2 linked regions of the Styela clava genome follow. The protein of the gene in region 1 interacts with the protein of each later gene in a pairwise test. Links are inferred from orthologs where the notes say so. Each region holds a gene or a part of one and is shown on either strand. Other genes may lie near its edges.

Region 1 (8,732 bases):
GTCCATGCCTCCGAAAACAAATAACTACCTAACTAAACCCATACCTGTCATGAAATGGTACCCGGACGAGAGATCATAGGTCGCCATATGATTTAGCCTTCTTATCGTCTTTTCTCTCCCAAAAAATAAATATATTTAAATCTTATTCTAACTTACAATAAAAATTAATTTTGGGGAAATAACAGGAAAGTCCAAAATGAAGATCTCACTTTAATATCATTCAAATGCTTCACAATATCTAAAGTTGTTTTGATCTCAGGAATCTGATTCTTCAATTTCTCTTTCTTATGATTCAACGACATCTCCATCATCTTGTATTTCTGGTAACGTTCCTCAAGTTTTTTCAAAGCCCCCTGAAATAATCAAGAAATGGATAATTGAGCGTGCTGTAATACCTTTGAAGTGGAGGGGAGGTCATAGCACAGTGACATATCTCTGTTATGTTCGCATGATGGAAATTAATGGGATTATCATTTTACTTACACGCAAAACCAAAAAAAGGCAATGTTTACAACCACGTTTGAATATCTGTCTGAGCGAAAGAAGTGTCTGAGTGGCGACATAAATTCCAATTGTTATGTCATTGTTAACTTATGGCTGATTTGTAATTGTTACGGGAATAAACAAGGAAATCAGAAACGGTTATAATACACCCAATAGAAGTACTATGGGTACGAAACTACACGAGAGCCGAGTTCATAGAGTTCTTGCTACAGTCAGACAGTATCTGCTATCGTGCGCAATCAGTGAATGAATCCACTAACATAAATGCGGAGAGAGTGGTAGTAAGATAGGTGTCAGTTCAATCAACCATACAACCATAGCTTACTGTTACCTGTGCTGAGGAATCAGGCTCTTCTGCCATGAATTTGTCTACATCTTCCTAAAAACAAAAGAGCAATGTTTAAATAAAGGTCATGGATGTAAAATCTGAAAATGGTCAGGTGATAGGATTAATATATTTGTCCCAGAAGAGAAGAAAGTTAAAAAGACGGCTCAATCATTTGGCGAACCACAGCCTTTGGCGAGATTACCAGTCCATGTCGGGTATGGGGTTAGTTAGTCAGTTATTTGTTTTCAGATGGACTTGATGGTGGAGGAAGGCAGGACCAGCCAACCAGCCAGCGATTACGTGAACCCCCCATGCTGCCACGGAGTGAGGAGTCCAGCAATTCTCTCGCACAGAATTATTACCACAGGGTAATTAGAGCTGCTGTGACGAGCGTATTTTTAACACTTAGCATGATGCCCACACGGTCGAGCTGAGTCAATTTTTCAGCCTGGGCAATAAGCTAACTTAACGCAAGATAAACAGGATGTCTTGATTCCTTGCCATCATATGGGCAGTTCACATAACTACTGGCAGACTGGTCAGGTATGGCTTCTTCCACCAGCCACCCCATGCATCTGAAACTAATACCGGCAACTGGCAGAATGCCAGTCTGGATTTCATGGCCTTTTCGAACGAGAAATCGGGCGTGCAATCAGAAATTCCCGCGTGCAAATAAGAATTTCTGGCGTGCAATTATAGCTCACGGCGTGCAAAACAACTGCGCCCGCTAAACTGATTTCGAACTAAGATACCTCTCAATACATCCGCGTAAAAATAAGTTGGATCATAGCAAAAATGGACGTTTGACCTTTGACCCCCAAAACATCATTTCTATATTTTGTCACTAATTTTGAGAGTGTTTGAGCGACTTTAGATACCGGTACTGTTCAGTACATCCGTGTAAAATTATTGTATTAAAAATACGCTGAATCAGAGCCATAACTGGCCAGCGTCGGTGAGGAGGCGATTTTTCTCACGGGATTCCTATCATTCAACACGATATGGTGATTTTTGCTTCGCATTTTTCGATCAGGCCAAATCTTGCAAGCAAGTATTAGTCGACAATTGTAAAGTTATAATTTTTTGGCATCTTTATATTACTAGATTATTGATTTAAAAACTATTTCAACCGATTTACATTGATGAGCAATTGCAAATTTTCGGCGTGCAAAATTGAATTCGCTCGCGTGCATTTTTGTGGAGCGCTAGCGCCCTCGGGCGTGCATCTGCCATGGAATCCAGTCTGGGCAGAATGAACTGGTAATGCAGTAATGGGACAAGAGACAATTTAAGAATTTGTTTTGTGTTTACAACTTTTGTAATTTAGTTTGAAGGTCTACCAGTCTCTAAGTTGGCAAAATTTGTTTCAAAACGTTACTAGTCCAGCAGTCTGTAAACTGTATGAATTGAGAACCGCAGAACCAGATCAATATTTTTTTAACGTTAATGGATCACGTTATGACTTATCGACCTTTAGATCGGTAAGTATGTTGATGTTAAGGTATGTTAAGGTATTTGTCTGTCTGTCTGTTAGATGCACGCGATATCTCACGAAGGTGTGGTTGAATCAGCTCCAAATTTTGCATGTGCGTTCATCCTACCTCAGACCAAAAGTCTATAGATTTTGGATGAATTATGTCGTATAATTAGCGACTTATTAATTAATTAGTGAGGGGACACTCGATGTCACTATAAGGTCATGAATCGAATCCGCAGTTTCGATCGATATGTCTTTGGTCTCTGACCGATATTCTCGTCTGATTATTATGTTAGGATAGGATTTACATATTTATCCCGGGAGAGAGGAAAGCCGATAAGACGGCTTATCTATATGGCGAACCACGGCCTCTCGTCCGATTACCATTCCAAGTCGGGTATGGGATTAGTTTTACTGTATTGTTTGTTTTCGGAAGCATGGACTTGGTGGTGGAGGAAGCCGTAACCGACCAGCGGTTACGTGAACCACCCAACGACGGCAAGGATAGGATAGGATTTACATATTTATCCCGGGGGAGAGGAAAGCCGATAAGACGGCTTATCCATATGGCGAACCACGGCCTCTCGTCCGGTTACCATTCCAAGTCGGGTATGGGATTAGTTTTTACTGTATTGTTTGTTTTCGGAAGCATGGACTTGGTGGTGGAGGAAGCCGTAACCGACCAGCGGTTATGTGAACCACCCAACGACGGCGAGGAGTCCAGCAATCCTCTCGCACATAACCATCCCTGCATGGGATTCGAACCTGCGAACCCACGCAGAGTAATTAGAGGTGCGGTGGCGAGCGTATTCCTAACGCGTAGCCCGTTGAGCCACACCGCCGCGCCGGACAGACACTGCTGCACTGAGACCTGGAGACAGGCAAACTTATGACTTACCACAAACTCTGCCTCCGGAATCCCTAGGTGAGCTTTCTTAGTTTCAGTCGCCATATTTAACTAGCCTTTGAAAACTTCCAATGTTCAAGTTCGTTTCCTAGTTTTCGACAAATCCAATAATAGCAAAACAGCCCAAAATGAAGACAATTTCTGACCGAAACTACCAAAAGGAATGGTCGGGACTTGTGAAGTCGCTATAACGACGAATCGTTGACCCAGTCATGCGTTTCGCGACCAAAAATAGTCATTTCAGCGAATGCCATAAAAAATCGTTTCGAATGATAAAAAAATACTATTTCTTAAAAAAATCATTTAGGATTTATTAGAGAAACATTTTTGTATCTGCCTAAAGCTATAGTTCAGGTACCTAGTTTAAAGTCCAGTTGACGAGTGAGTTGTTTTCACCTACATTCTATTTCACAAGATGAAATGGTCTATGTAGTATCTTTATGTCTCATTTTCCGAACTTCATTTAGAGATTTGACAACTTTCTTAAATTTCCGTCCTGCGTGTTTGTCCTATGAGCTGTTACATTTTGCGCCATGGACCTGTTCAAAATGAAATATATTAAGAGATAGCTGATCTTGACTGACTAAACTGATATTGCAACTAATGTAAAACTCCTCGGGAGACAGTCTGAATACATATATACTTGAATTTAGCAAACACAACTAAAAACTAACAAAAAGGTTAGAAAACCGCGGAACTGTGCCAATCTTTTCTTCTGTCCGCGTGAAAAAAGGTTGGAGAAAAATCAATTGTTACATCACCGTCAACCAATTGCTTATTGGCCATTATTTCGGAAATAACCAAAGGAGCCAGAAGCATCTGTTGTGAAAGCCACGCTGTAAGCTGGATGTTTGTGATAGCCATTATTCAGGCTAGAAATGATGAAAAAATTCGGGTAACAATTCTCTAGTTCATTTACAATGTCGTTAGAGGTTTGAATGTTTAATCGGATACAACACTGCCTGCGACGCAAGCTGTTTATTCAAGTAGGCTACCGGCAACATACGTTTCATTTTTTCATCAGGTCAGGATCTTACTTCTATGGGTGAGTTTATATTTACTCGTGTATTGATTAGATAAATCATTTTTAACTCCGCCACAGTGCCTAGAATGACGGAACACCGGGCGAGGATTCGAAAACCTAAAGGAGGCCGTCCGACCGTATGATGTAAAAGCTGATGTCTTTACAGTCTATCGTTTTAGTTAGTTCGGCTCGGCCAACAAGTCCTTGTGTCTGAAAACAGAAAATAACTGGCAAACTAATCCCATACCCGACATTGATTGGTAACCGGACGAGTGGCCGTGGTAGGGCTTCCCTCTCCCCGGGGTCAAATATGTAAAATCCTTTCCTATCCTAGCTAGATGTATGGGTTTGGTTGGAAGCCGTTACCGAACCACACTGTAAAGACAAAGAGTCCAGAAACCCTCGCGCACTCGAACATTATCAACCTTTACCCGGAAGCGTCATTTTCACTTCATTTTACATGCTGTTTGTACAAAACGCGTTTTTTGTGTGGTACGAGTGATCATGATCACCCCGGTGGGATTCGGACCAGCGAATCCCGCAGGGCAATTATTCATTGATTAATATCAAAGGCCGGCATATAAATTACCATTATCGCCCGAAAACTCGCCTCTGCGAGATTAGACAGTAGCAATCAGGTGTTGGAGTCGTATGTAAGTTGATTTGTGCAAAACGTAACTTCGGCAAAAGTAATTCGATCTGTAATTACCAAGTGTCAGTACTGTCAGTCAGTACTCAGTGTTACTTTGCATGCTGAGATTCGCTGACGTAGATGTCAGAAGATGCTTGCTAACACGGAAGTTAGTGACGTTCTTCGATTCAAACTTAATTCAACTCACTCTCAAATTTTCGTTTGAAACGTTGTCGAGTAGCTAGCTAGCTTGTAGGAATTGTCGATATGTCCAGAGTAGGGCTGGACGAATCTTCGAATGACGAATGGAATATTCAATAACAACAAATATTATAAGGTTAATTTGTCATTCCCATAACTAATTACATTCAATCTGTGCAATTCGCAAGCTGTGGAGCCTATGAGAGAATTTAAACGAATTACGCGTCCCCAGGAATTTAAATAATAACAACGTAATAATATATTGCAACGTATAGCTTTTTACATTATGCAATGGATCTAATTACAAGCATGTTCGTCTATTATTTGAAATGTTTTACAATTGCTATCAATGGCCTTCTAGATTTTAGTATAATTAGTATATCCATATCGCTTTATTTATTTATTGTATGTACTCGCTGTTTGATTAAGGTATGTCTTGTTTTGTCTTAAATTTCCATTAAACAGCAGACTGCCCTTTCGCTCTGGATTAGAAAGTAAACAGGAAAGGCCTGCTGCTAAATAACGAAAATATATATCTGCTTAGGAATTAAATGCCTCTTGTTATTGAGCGGAACGTTCTCGGAATCATTCGAACGCCAGTTTCTTGTACCAAAACTCAGCTTTGCCCCGCTCTGTCACTGACGGAGTTGATGAAAGTTATGTTAATGTGACAAAAATTTGAATGTAAAAACGTATGAGTCTTAGACACGTGGCACTCAAAGTTCGGAAAATCTTCTCACATAGCGCAACCTGGGTGAAATAGATATCGGCTTCAAGTAATAGATCAGAAGTCATAAATGAAAGAAACGACACCAAAATTACTTTGTTTTGGAGTATCGCGCTCTTGTTCAATGATATATTTGTGCCGCAACCTCCTACGGCAGACGAAGAATGTACTTGATCGTGAATTCAAAAGCATTCAACTTTTATATCAAACCCGCGTAAGAGGAAAGCTGATAAGACGACTAAATCACATGGTGAGCTACGAACTTTCGTCCGGATACCAGTCATGGGACAACCCGTCATAAACCTCTTTCGTCAATTTATAACACAACACGTACGCTAAACATGACCATTTTAAAATTGCTATTTAATTCAAGAAACTTTTAGAACTTAAGAGAATAAAGTAAAAATATGATAATAGAATCTCATAATGACATTACAACCAGAAATATACTTTGCCTAAATAGGCTATAAGTGATAGGGTGTCGGTGACACGCTCGATCGAGGTTTCGAACTAGAATAAAAAAAATATAATTATAGCTATAATTGGGTTAGACTTCAAGTTAGGAATGTCCTGCCATTTTTTGCGGCATATATCATGATTTTTCTTTAAAAAAGATCAGTTTAGATAATTTGTGATTGAAATTAATTCATTGAATACTAGACTAATCTGATGGCTCGGAAGAATAAAACTGTGTTTGCGTCGTAGGTTATAGATCTTACGTTCAAACCCCATGTCTACCCCCTCATCCAAAGAGTGTGGGCCCGTGGCCCCTAACCTTTTATTGGTCGTGCTCTCCTTCTGGAGGGGTTTAGCTCTCATGGTCCGTCCCCCTGTTTATCATTCCAATGGCATTTAAAGTATTATTTTAATTGGTAGGTTCCAAATCCTATTAACTTCAAACAAATCATGCTCAACAAAGTGAAAATACTCTGTGAAATAACATTACCAAGTAATGAAACTAATGAACCGGGGTTTTTTTTTTGAGGAAAATATAAAACAGGTTTTACGCCTAGCATTATAGCCGCCTTAAGGTTGCCACGGGCCAGGTTGACCGCTGATGTAGGCCAAACCGGAAAAAATAAGTAATTCAAAACAATAATAAATTTTTGCGCATCACAATTGACCGAATGTATACAAAGTAAAGCGTGAAAAATTTTCATAAAAATGTAGGTCAATATTCGGGTCGGATTGATTCGATCATAAAAGTGCTTCGTCATTGATAAATAATTTTAGTTTAGCAAGTCTTAAAATTGTGTCTTACAGAGTCACACAACTCTTTTATGAATGAAAAATACTGTACAGAATAATCAATGCTGAATGAAAATCAAAGGCCTATTTTGCGAAGAAAAAATAAATGATTTGATAATAAACATAGGATATGGAGTATGTGGTGAAAGTATTATTGATAGCAAGCCATGAAACGTCAGTAAGATTCTTATATTAATACATAAATATCGGTAAGGAACATGGGTATGTTAAAAATTCGAAAAAATTTAACCATAAATATTAAAACGAAAACTGTGTCACAAGGTCTATAAAATACACAAAATCATAGAATAATTTTTATTCGCATATATAATAATAAAATTAAAGTTAAAACAAAAAATGGTTTTCATCGACGAATTTTGCTAAGTAAACGAGATGAAAAAAAAATCGATGTCCGGACAATTTCTCCCAGAAATTTCTAAAACCAGTGACATTATTCAGAAAATTATTAGCAACTCCTGAATTATGTGAACCAAGATGGCGGACAACGGAACGTAGTATGTGTACCAAGTTAGGGTTAGAACATACTTTTATTCTAATTTTCTATATTTTAGTTCTATTACGAGTTCGGGGACTAGCCAAGTGACTCTCATAGTATTTGTACCTGGAATTATGACCTAGCTCTAACCTGGTACACATACTACATTCCGGTGTCCGCCATTTTGGTTCACATACTTCGGGAGCACCGCAAATTAATTTGAAAGTCTTTTAATATAGGTTAGGGTTGGATTTGTCGGGGAGAAATATTCCATAAGTGAACTATATGAGGGAAAAATTTTCCTAGTTCAAAAAATATTTGATGAAATGAATACATATAGATATGCTGGTTAATCTAACATAACATGAAAACAGAAAATGCATTTTTATTATATACAGATAGAAGTGTTTGCTTTTAAAGCTAATATATATCTCTAAACACGGCATAGATAAATTTAGTTATATTTAAGCATGGGGTTACAGTAATAGTTCTCAAACGGTGGTGCCCGCCACACAAGGTGAACGTAGACAATTTTTTAGGGGCGGGAAGTTGATTAAATAAAAAAATATTTGTTAGCTTTGATCTTATTTTGGATATTCACGTTCCATAACTTACCGCTCTTCTCGGTAATTACTGGACAATTGCTTTGAACTTTTCAGTGGTTAAAGATTTTATTTTTGGCTTGAAGGCTATTTATTACTTTTATTTGATTCAAAATTTTTTTGGGCTCTATGGAATTCGTTTTATTTTGTGCGATGACGTCATCTGAAATTGCGCACCTTGTGTCGGTTCCGCGTTTGCCTTAGTCGTGAAGATTGCCGCACAGGTAGTCTACTGTGACAGATTGCATACTCGTACTACTTTGTTTTGGCTTTCGTGCCCATATACTTGAACATCGCTTTCTTGTTTCAATTCATGGTAACACTTTTATCACCTTTTCTACACTTTATTCACCCACGCTTGTCCGCCGATGCTCAGCTAAGACAGTACCGGTACCGATTCTCGTGTCCATATTTTTGTGCATTGCTCTTTCTTAATTTTGGGTTATGGGTATCGTTTAGGTTTATTGTTTTAAACTTTGCTACAGTTCTGTACCGTAATCTTTCAAGATATTTTCAATACTTCTTGAATACTTCTTTTGTTTGATTAAAGAACTGACTGGGGAATTCACCGGAAAAGCATAATCGTC
Region 2 (6,492 bases), on another chromosome or scaffold:
AAGCCTAACTAGTGGGAAAACACAAGTCACATCAAATGATAGGTTATATATGAGGATATCACCAAAAAACCAAAACATTAATAATGTTAGAATTGCGATTCATCGGAGTTCAGCGGATTGTCATTAAAATCATCATGTGATAAGATATACAAGCAGTTATACTGATCAACATTACCCCTCAACTACATGGGTCTTCATTCTTGATCCCTAAATATCTACTTGATGATACATTCTGCATTAAATGAACACACAATAAAGAGTGTCATCTATATAGCAAGGGAACTAGAATTCAAGCATTCTCTTATTATTATAAAGAATCAGCAACCTGTGTTCCAGCATCACCTTCCTCAGAAACATCACTTTCTTTCACTGTCCCACACTTAGAGCAAAGTTTCAATGACATTGCGCAATTTTCACATAATATATGGTAAGCAACTTTAATATTTTTTCCTTCACATTTCGTGCATTTCTTTGGTTTTGAAAGAGGTTTGTATTTATTGTATTTCAATTTCCATTCAATGAGTTCTTTACATTTAGTGCAAACATTATTTGTAAAATTTCGACTTCCCTTCAAAACCTGATTAGTATTGTTTGATTTCCATGCAGTATGGTTCTGATGTTTTTGTGGTCTTGATCTTTGTGTGTTTCCCTTTTGACAACTCATTCCTGAAGGTTCTACTGAATACTATAACTACTTAGACCTAAAAATGTGTACAATTGTAATGCATGAGTAGAGAAATTCCCATAATGGAAACATAATGGCCAATATTCAAGCATGATCAAGTAACAAAATTCCAGAAAAACTTGAAAATAATGCTTTAGATATACATTGATGAAGAAGTCTTCATGCATTACTACAGTCGATACACCAGATAAATTGAACATTTTAATCTGCCTGAATTATTTGTTTAAAAATACTTCAGAAAGTCACTGAGACACTGATAACAAAGTAATGAATTATACACTTAATAATGGAATAGTGTACTATAAATTATAAGTCCTGTCCTGTGCATCATTGAAAACATACCGGTAGTTAATATTCAGCAGCAACATTAAATAGGCGAAAATAATTAATTTAAAACACCTAATATTCCAGAAATACGACAAAACTTCATAGAATTGATTACTTATTCCAATCATTTGATAATTTCTCATTGTCAAGCTTTCCCTGCACAACAGAAGTCCTTACAATAAATATACTACTAGCATGCATGTTATATTCTATTACTGTTAATTTACTATTAACTTATTCATCATCAGGCTCTAAATTAATTTGATCTCCAAATTTTGCATAAAGTTTTACTTTTAGATCATCCATAACCGATTTGATTTCTGAACTAGTTGTTTCAAGTTTCTTGATTTCAGCTTGAATATTTTCTTTTGCATTATCGATAAGTTCTTGTGTTTTATCCATTGAATGATTAACAAACACTTCCCCAATTAAATAAGGCACAGGCCCTGCTTCATCTTCATCTAAAAGCATCAAGTCATCCGATGCATCTTCAAGATTCTGCAGCTCTTTTTTCTTGGCTTCAATTTCTTCTTTGAGATCAACGAATCGTGCATTTTTCCTAGCAAATAGATTGATTTTTTTCTGGTCTTCATATGTTACTTTTGCATCAGCTTCACCACGATCTTTAGCCATTTCGGATATTAAATTTATCTACCTCACATATAAATATCTAAAGAGATAAAATTATGGGATTAAAAAATAAAATCAGTGTTTTCCTTAAAAGTTAAAAGCATTACACATTATAAGGTATAAAACTATAGATGTTATAAATATCAAGTATTATTAATATTAATTAAGCAATTGTAACACGTTTTACGTAATAACTATTTTTATCATGAATGCATGAATCCTAAATACAGTAACTAAATTTTCTACCTAAAAAATCTAAAGATCACACAACTCAACTTATATGTGCTGCATATCATATAAGTTAGTGTGTCAATGGACAATGAAATTGAAACATGGAACAACATATAAATTTTATTATGGATTACGAAATATGCCGACATGTTTGCTGAAATTCACTTGATTTAATTTCACTTCAGGTAAAGTGACCACATTGTCAATATTCAAACACTAACACGAAAATATGGCATCCTGTAAGATTTCACAAAGCATTACATAAGTAATTGAACAAATACGGGCCATTTTAGATTTCGTGATTTTAAATAAAATTTTATAGTGACTCATGTTTGTACGAACAAAACTCGGAAATCTAATAAGGCTTTGTCATCACATCAAACAAATGGATTCTAATCTGTTCTGAACAAACAACGATCTAAAGGTAAACAATTGGGTACAATAGAACGTAAATGGATGTAATAAGACATCTCAAGCCATCTGTGTGAAAACATGTTCCAGCATTTGAATTAAAACGACATCATATTCATCGTAGATTGATATTTGCTTTGTACTTATATTTTGTTTTGTCTGAAGGAGACTATGACTTCTAGACTATAATTTAACTTGAGCTCATAAATAAACTTACAGATAATAATAGAAAACATGATATCAGACTAGTGACTAAATTGGCCAATGGCTACCGATACATATTGATGATACATATTGATATTACGTAGTAGGCATTTATGAGGTCAGTAATAAAAATTAATGTTTACTTGCTTTGATAAAATGTACCAACTTCGCAGTTTGATACCAAAATATTTCGATATAGAGTGACATTTCCATTAGGGACATTCAAACAATAACAGCTACATATTCTTTGATCCATATTATGAGTATAATAAAATACAGAGTGACACAAAAAACAGAACCCATAAATTTCTTAATTACTTTTATAAAAATGAAGTGAACTATTTAATTTTGTTTACACTCGGAACTTCCATTTGCGTATCATTGTACACAAAAGTTTCAGAAATCTAGGGCATTATGCACAAAAGGTATGTTCTCTCTGGAATGTGATCTGAATGACCCCCTCGACATTGAAAACATATTTGCATATGTTGCCAACATTGTCAATCACTCTTACACACTCCTCTTCCCTAATTTTGGCTTCGATTGCAATCTTAAGTTAACCAATAATTGTTCTGATATACATTGTCTTTCAAATACTCTTAAAGTAAAAATCCGTAGGTTGAAGGCCAATGAATGAGATGCCCACCCGACATCACTGCTGATCATATTTTTTTGAAATCGCTCTCCCAGCCAGTGATTTGATGTGTGGGGGGTTGACTACCATCAATCCATCTACCCATCATCCATGTATTAGCACGACCATCTAACATTCTGTATTCACCATTTGATCTCTTTCATTTTTAGCTCTAATATCAGGGAGCAATTAGGCCATGTTGGAAAATGGTTACCTTCACCGCGCCCTTTACTGAGAGTAATGGTCTCTTGAAAACTTCCTTCGGAGGTGCTGTGCCCGAGTAAACATTATCATTGCTACTGAAAAAAGTAGAAAGTGCGCTTCAACAGGAAACCAAGTGAATGATTGACAATTTTGCACAATGGATGCTCTTCTGGCTCAAATCAAACGCCAAGGAGATTACTTCAAACATATTATAGAGAGAACGAAACTTTAGTACAAAGTGATGACACTATATTCTGAAACTTTTATGGTAAAATCATACACAAACAAAAATCGGAGCTGAAACAAAATTAAATATATTTTTTTAAAACTCATTAAAGTAATTAAAACACTCATGTGTTCATTTTTTCAGGATCACACCGTATCACAACTAGTTCATGTTCCTATAATAAAAATAGTAGACCTACTAAGCATTTCATCTTTGACTAGTGGACGGTGATTATTAATTTTGTACATTTTCAATGTCAATCATTCATCTAATAAAATTGTGCTAGCTGAGATTGAAACAAAACCTACTCAAAACACACACTAACAAGTAACAACTAAGTTGTATCTGAGAAGGACAATTATTAGGTTTTCATAGTCATGAAAGCAATCAAAAATGATACCGATTTCAAAGATATTCACTTTGCAGATTGCTCATGCCAGCATGCTGTCATGTGTGACCATATTCAAAAAAAATATGATAACACAGCATTGAGTTACTAATATTATCTCAAATATTGAATCTTTGTGTAAATTATCACTATAAGGGCAAGGTTAATATAATTGTTCTCATTTTTTCTTTGAGGTGTTTTAAACTTCTTTTCCAATAAGGCTCTAGAGTAGGGGTGCGCTGCTCAACCTTTAATATAGGAGGGCCAGATACAAATAACTGGGTGAAACATGGGCTTCCTAGTAGTTGCAGACACCAAAGTTTTGGTTATTGATCTTGTGACATGTCTGCATGTGTTATTTGCTTCACACAAGCTCAGATACAGACTTTGCAACGCAAAGGAATTAATTACTCATACATACCGGATCAAACTAACTTAAAACTCATTTCACAGGCCGCACACTATTCAAAATTCGCACTTCTCTGTGGGCCGCATCAGCTTTTCTTGTGGGCAGCATTTGGCTCGCAGGTTACACACCCCTGCTCTCAGAGAAGTACGGTACCGATACCGGTATCCCTAATATGTAAGAATCTAGTCTACTTCGTTATTGGAAAAACCAAAATATTCAGATTGTTAATATAGCTCAGTGGTTCCCAACCGCCGGTCCGGGGACCGGTGCCGGTACGCGAAGCATTTTTACCGGTCGGCGGAAATTTCAATTTGTTGTTTTTCTACCGTCTCATTCGCTTTACCGAAGCCGAAACGACGAAGTTACGTTGGTTTATTACGCAATTTTTCTTCCGCCGTCATATTCATGTTTGATACGTGCGGGATGGCCCGCCGACGTCTTGGCGCCGAGTGATCACACTTTTCGGTTCCGATTCATCGCGAAAGCGCTTCGTCAAATCTCCAAAGATTCAGGAACCTGGAAATCAGCATGCGTGCTTTTTCCGCTCTGCATGCTTTTCTTGATTAATATTACCGCCAAAATAAAAGGTTATGAATATTTCTTTATTTAAACCAGAAAACTGTCAAGAACAGTATAATATTTCAGAGTTTTACCATGACACTCAGCGAGATATGAACTTGTTGCGGCCCTGCAGGTGGTCACAAGACACGTAATAAAACCGGGGGCCGCTGAGATATTTTCCGCGTGATGCACAGCATGATTTTAAGCCTGGGGCCAAGTTAGCAACGACTATCATTGTAATATAAATTCATTTTGTTTGGGGCGTCAATCAACTGCAGAGGGATTGATATGATGAACCCAATGAAAACTCTACTTTACAGTCCAGATTTATAAAATCATTGTCACAATTCATTCTTGAGCTCTCTTGATAACGAATACCCATCGCTGAGTAATCGAGCATTCAAACAGTTGTCCGAATTTTCAACCAGTCACTTCTAGCTTTAATTAAAACGAAGCAAATAAATTGACTGTGATCCGCTGCATAGCTACGTGTTGCAAATTTTTTTTTGGTGCCTCGTTTGCAATCCTGTATTGGAAACGACACAGTAGCAAAATTATCACTGGGGTTAATTATTTGAGTTTCACCCATTTCAATTTTTGGCCGGCACATTATTTGATAGTTTTTCCTCAAGTGAAATGTTTTTAAATGTATCTTTTTTTTATAAAAAGCATTGCCCGACATCACACAAATATATGTTATTATTTTGTGTTCCACAAATTTCAATTTTTGCCGGTCCGCGAGTATATTTTATTTAATTTTACCGGTCCGCCAAGGTAGAAAGGTTGGGAATCGCTGATATAGCTTACCCATTTATCACAATTCAAAACATGGGTGGGTAGTAGACAAGCATTCTAAATCAGAGATGTTCAACTTGCAGTGCCTATTATCATTATTGGCCTATTCTGCCATTACTATTCACTTTAATATTTATCATTTTATACTATGCTGTCATGTCTACATGCTGGCATAGTTTCTCACAACTGCACCATACTTCATCAGAAACAGGGAGTAAGCATGCATGTTTCAATAATGCTATAACAATGTGAGTGGAAGTGGTGACTCCTCTTCGGCCCATGGGCCGGGGCCACGGCCCATCAAATTGGGCCTCGGCCCATCAGGCTATGGGCCGCGGCCCATCAAGTTGTGTAAAGAAACTATTCACTTGGCTAACACAGACAGTCCCCAAACTCATAATAGAACTATAATGTAAAAAATCTGAACAAAATTTTGCCCTAACCCTAACCTGGTACACATACTACAGGAGTTTATTTTTTGGTTCGAATATTGACAATTTTGTAAAAATTGAAAATTTTGGTAAGATAATTGAATTTTTCCTGACGGGGCCGCGACCCATAGCTTGATGGGCCACGGCCCATGTGGCCCAATTAGATGGGCCGTGGCCCCGGCCCATGGGTCGTAGAGGAGTCACCACCCCTGTAGAACAATGTTGCGGTCACGAGCAGGTGTGGTGAAATAATAATAAAATAAATAGGGAACACCAGTCTGTCAGTACAAAGTTATTACTTATTGGCTTGTGTTAAACGATTTCAATCCAATTAGAAACAATCATTAAAATTGCAA

Evidence for each region.
Region 2: the proteins of prefoldin subunit 3-like (region 1) and prefoldin subunit 4-like interact in binary tests that used the Homo sapiens proteins (3 or more experiments, as listed by UniProt). The link is inferred for Styela clava from reciprocal best matches to the Homo sapiens genes VBP1 and PFDN4.

The regions. Positions count from the first base shown.
Region 1 is NC_135259.1:21,595,199-21,603,930, forward strand, and holds the start of prefoldin subunit 3-like, read right to left. Parts: upstream 3,395-8,732; 5' UTR 3,262-3,394; coding exon 3,208-3,261; intron 884-3,207; coding exon 836-883; intron 354-835; coding exon 210-353; intron 1-209. Other genes in the region: uncharacterized protein LOC120338412, read right to left, coding at 8,625-8,732. UniProt on the Homo sapiens protein: Binds specifically to cytosolic chaperonin (c-CPN) and transfers target proteins to it. Binds to nascent polypeptide chain and promotes folding in an environment in which there are many competing pathways for nonnative proteins.
Region 2 is NC_135255.1:7,782,164-7,788,655, forward strand, and holds prefoldin subunit 4-like, read right to left. Parts: upstream 1,683-6,492; 5' UTR 1,646-1,682; coding exon 1,247-1,645; 3' UTR 702-1,246; downstream 1-701. Other genes in the region: uncharacterized protein C9orf85 homolog, read right to left, coding at 308-664. UniProt on the Homo sapiens protein: Binds specifically to cytosolic chaperonin (c-CPN) and transfers target proteins to it. Binds to nascent polypeptide chain and promotes folding in an environment in which there are many competing pathways for nonnative proteins.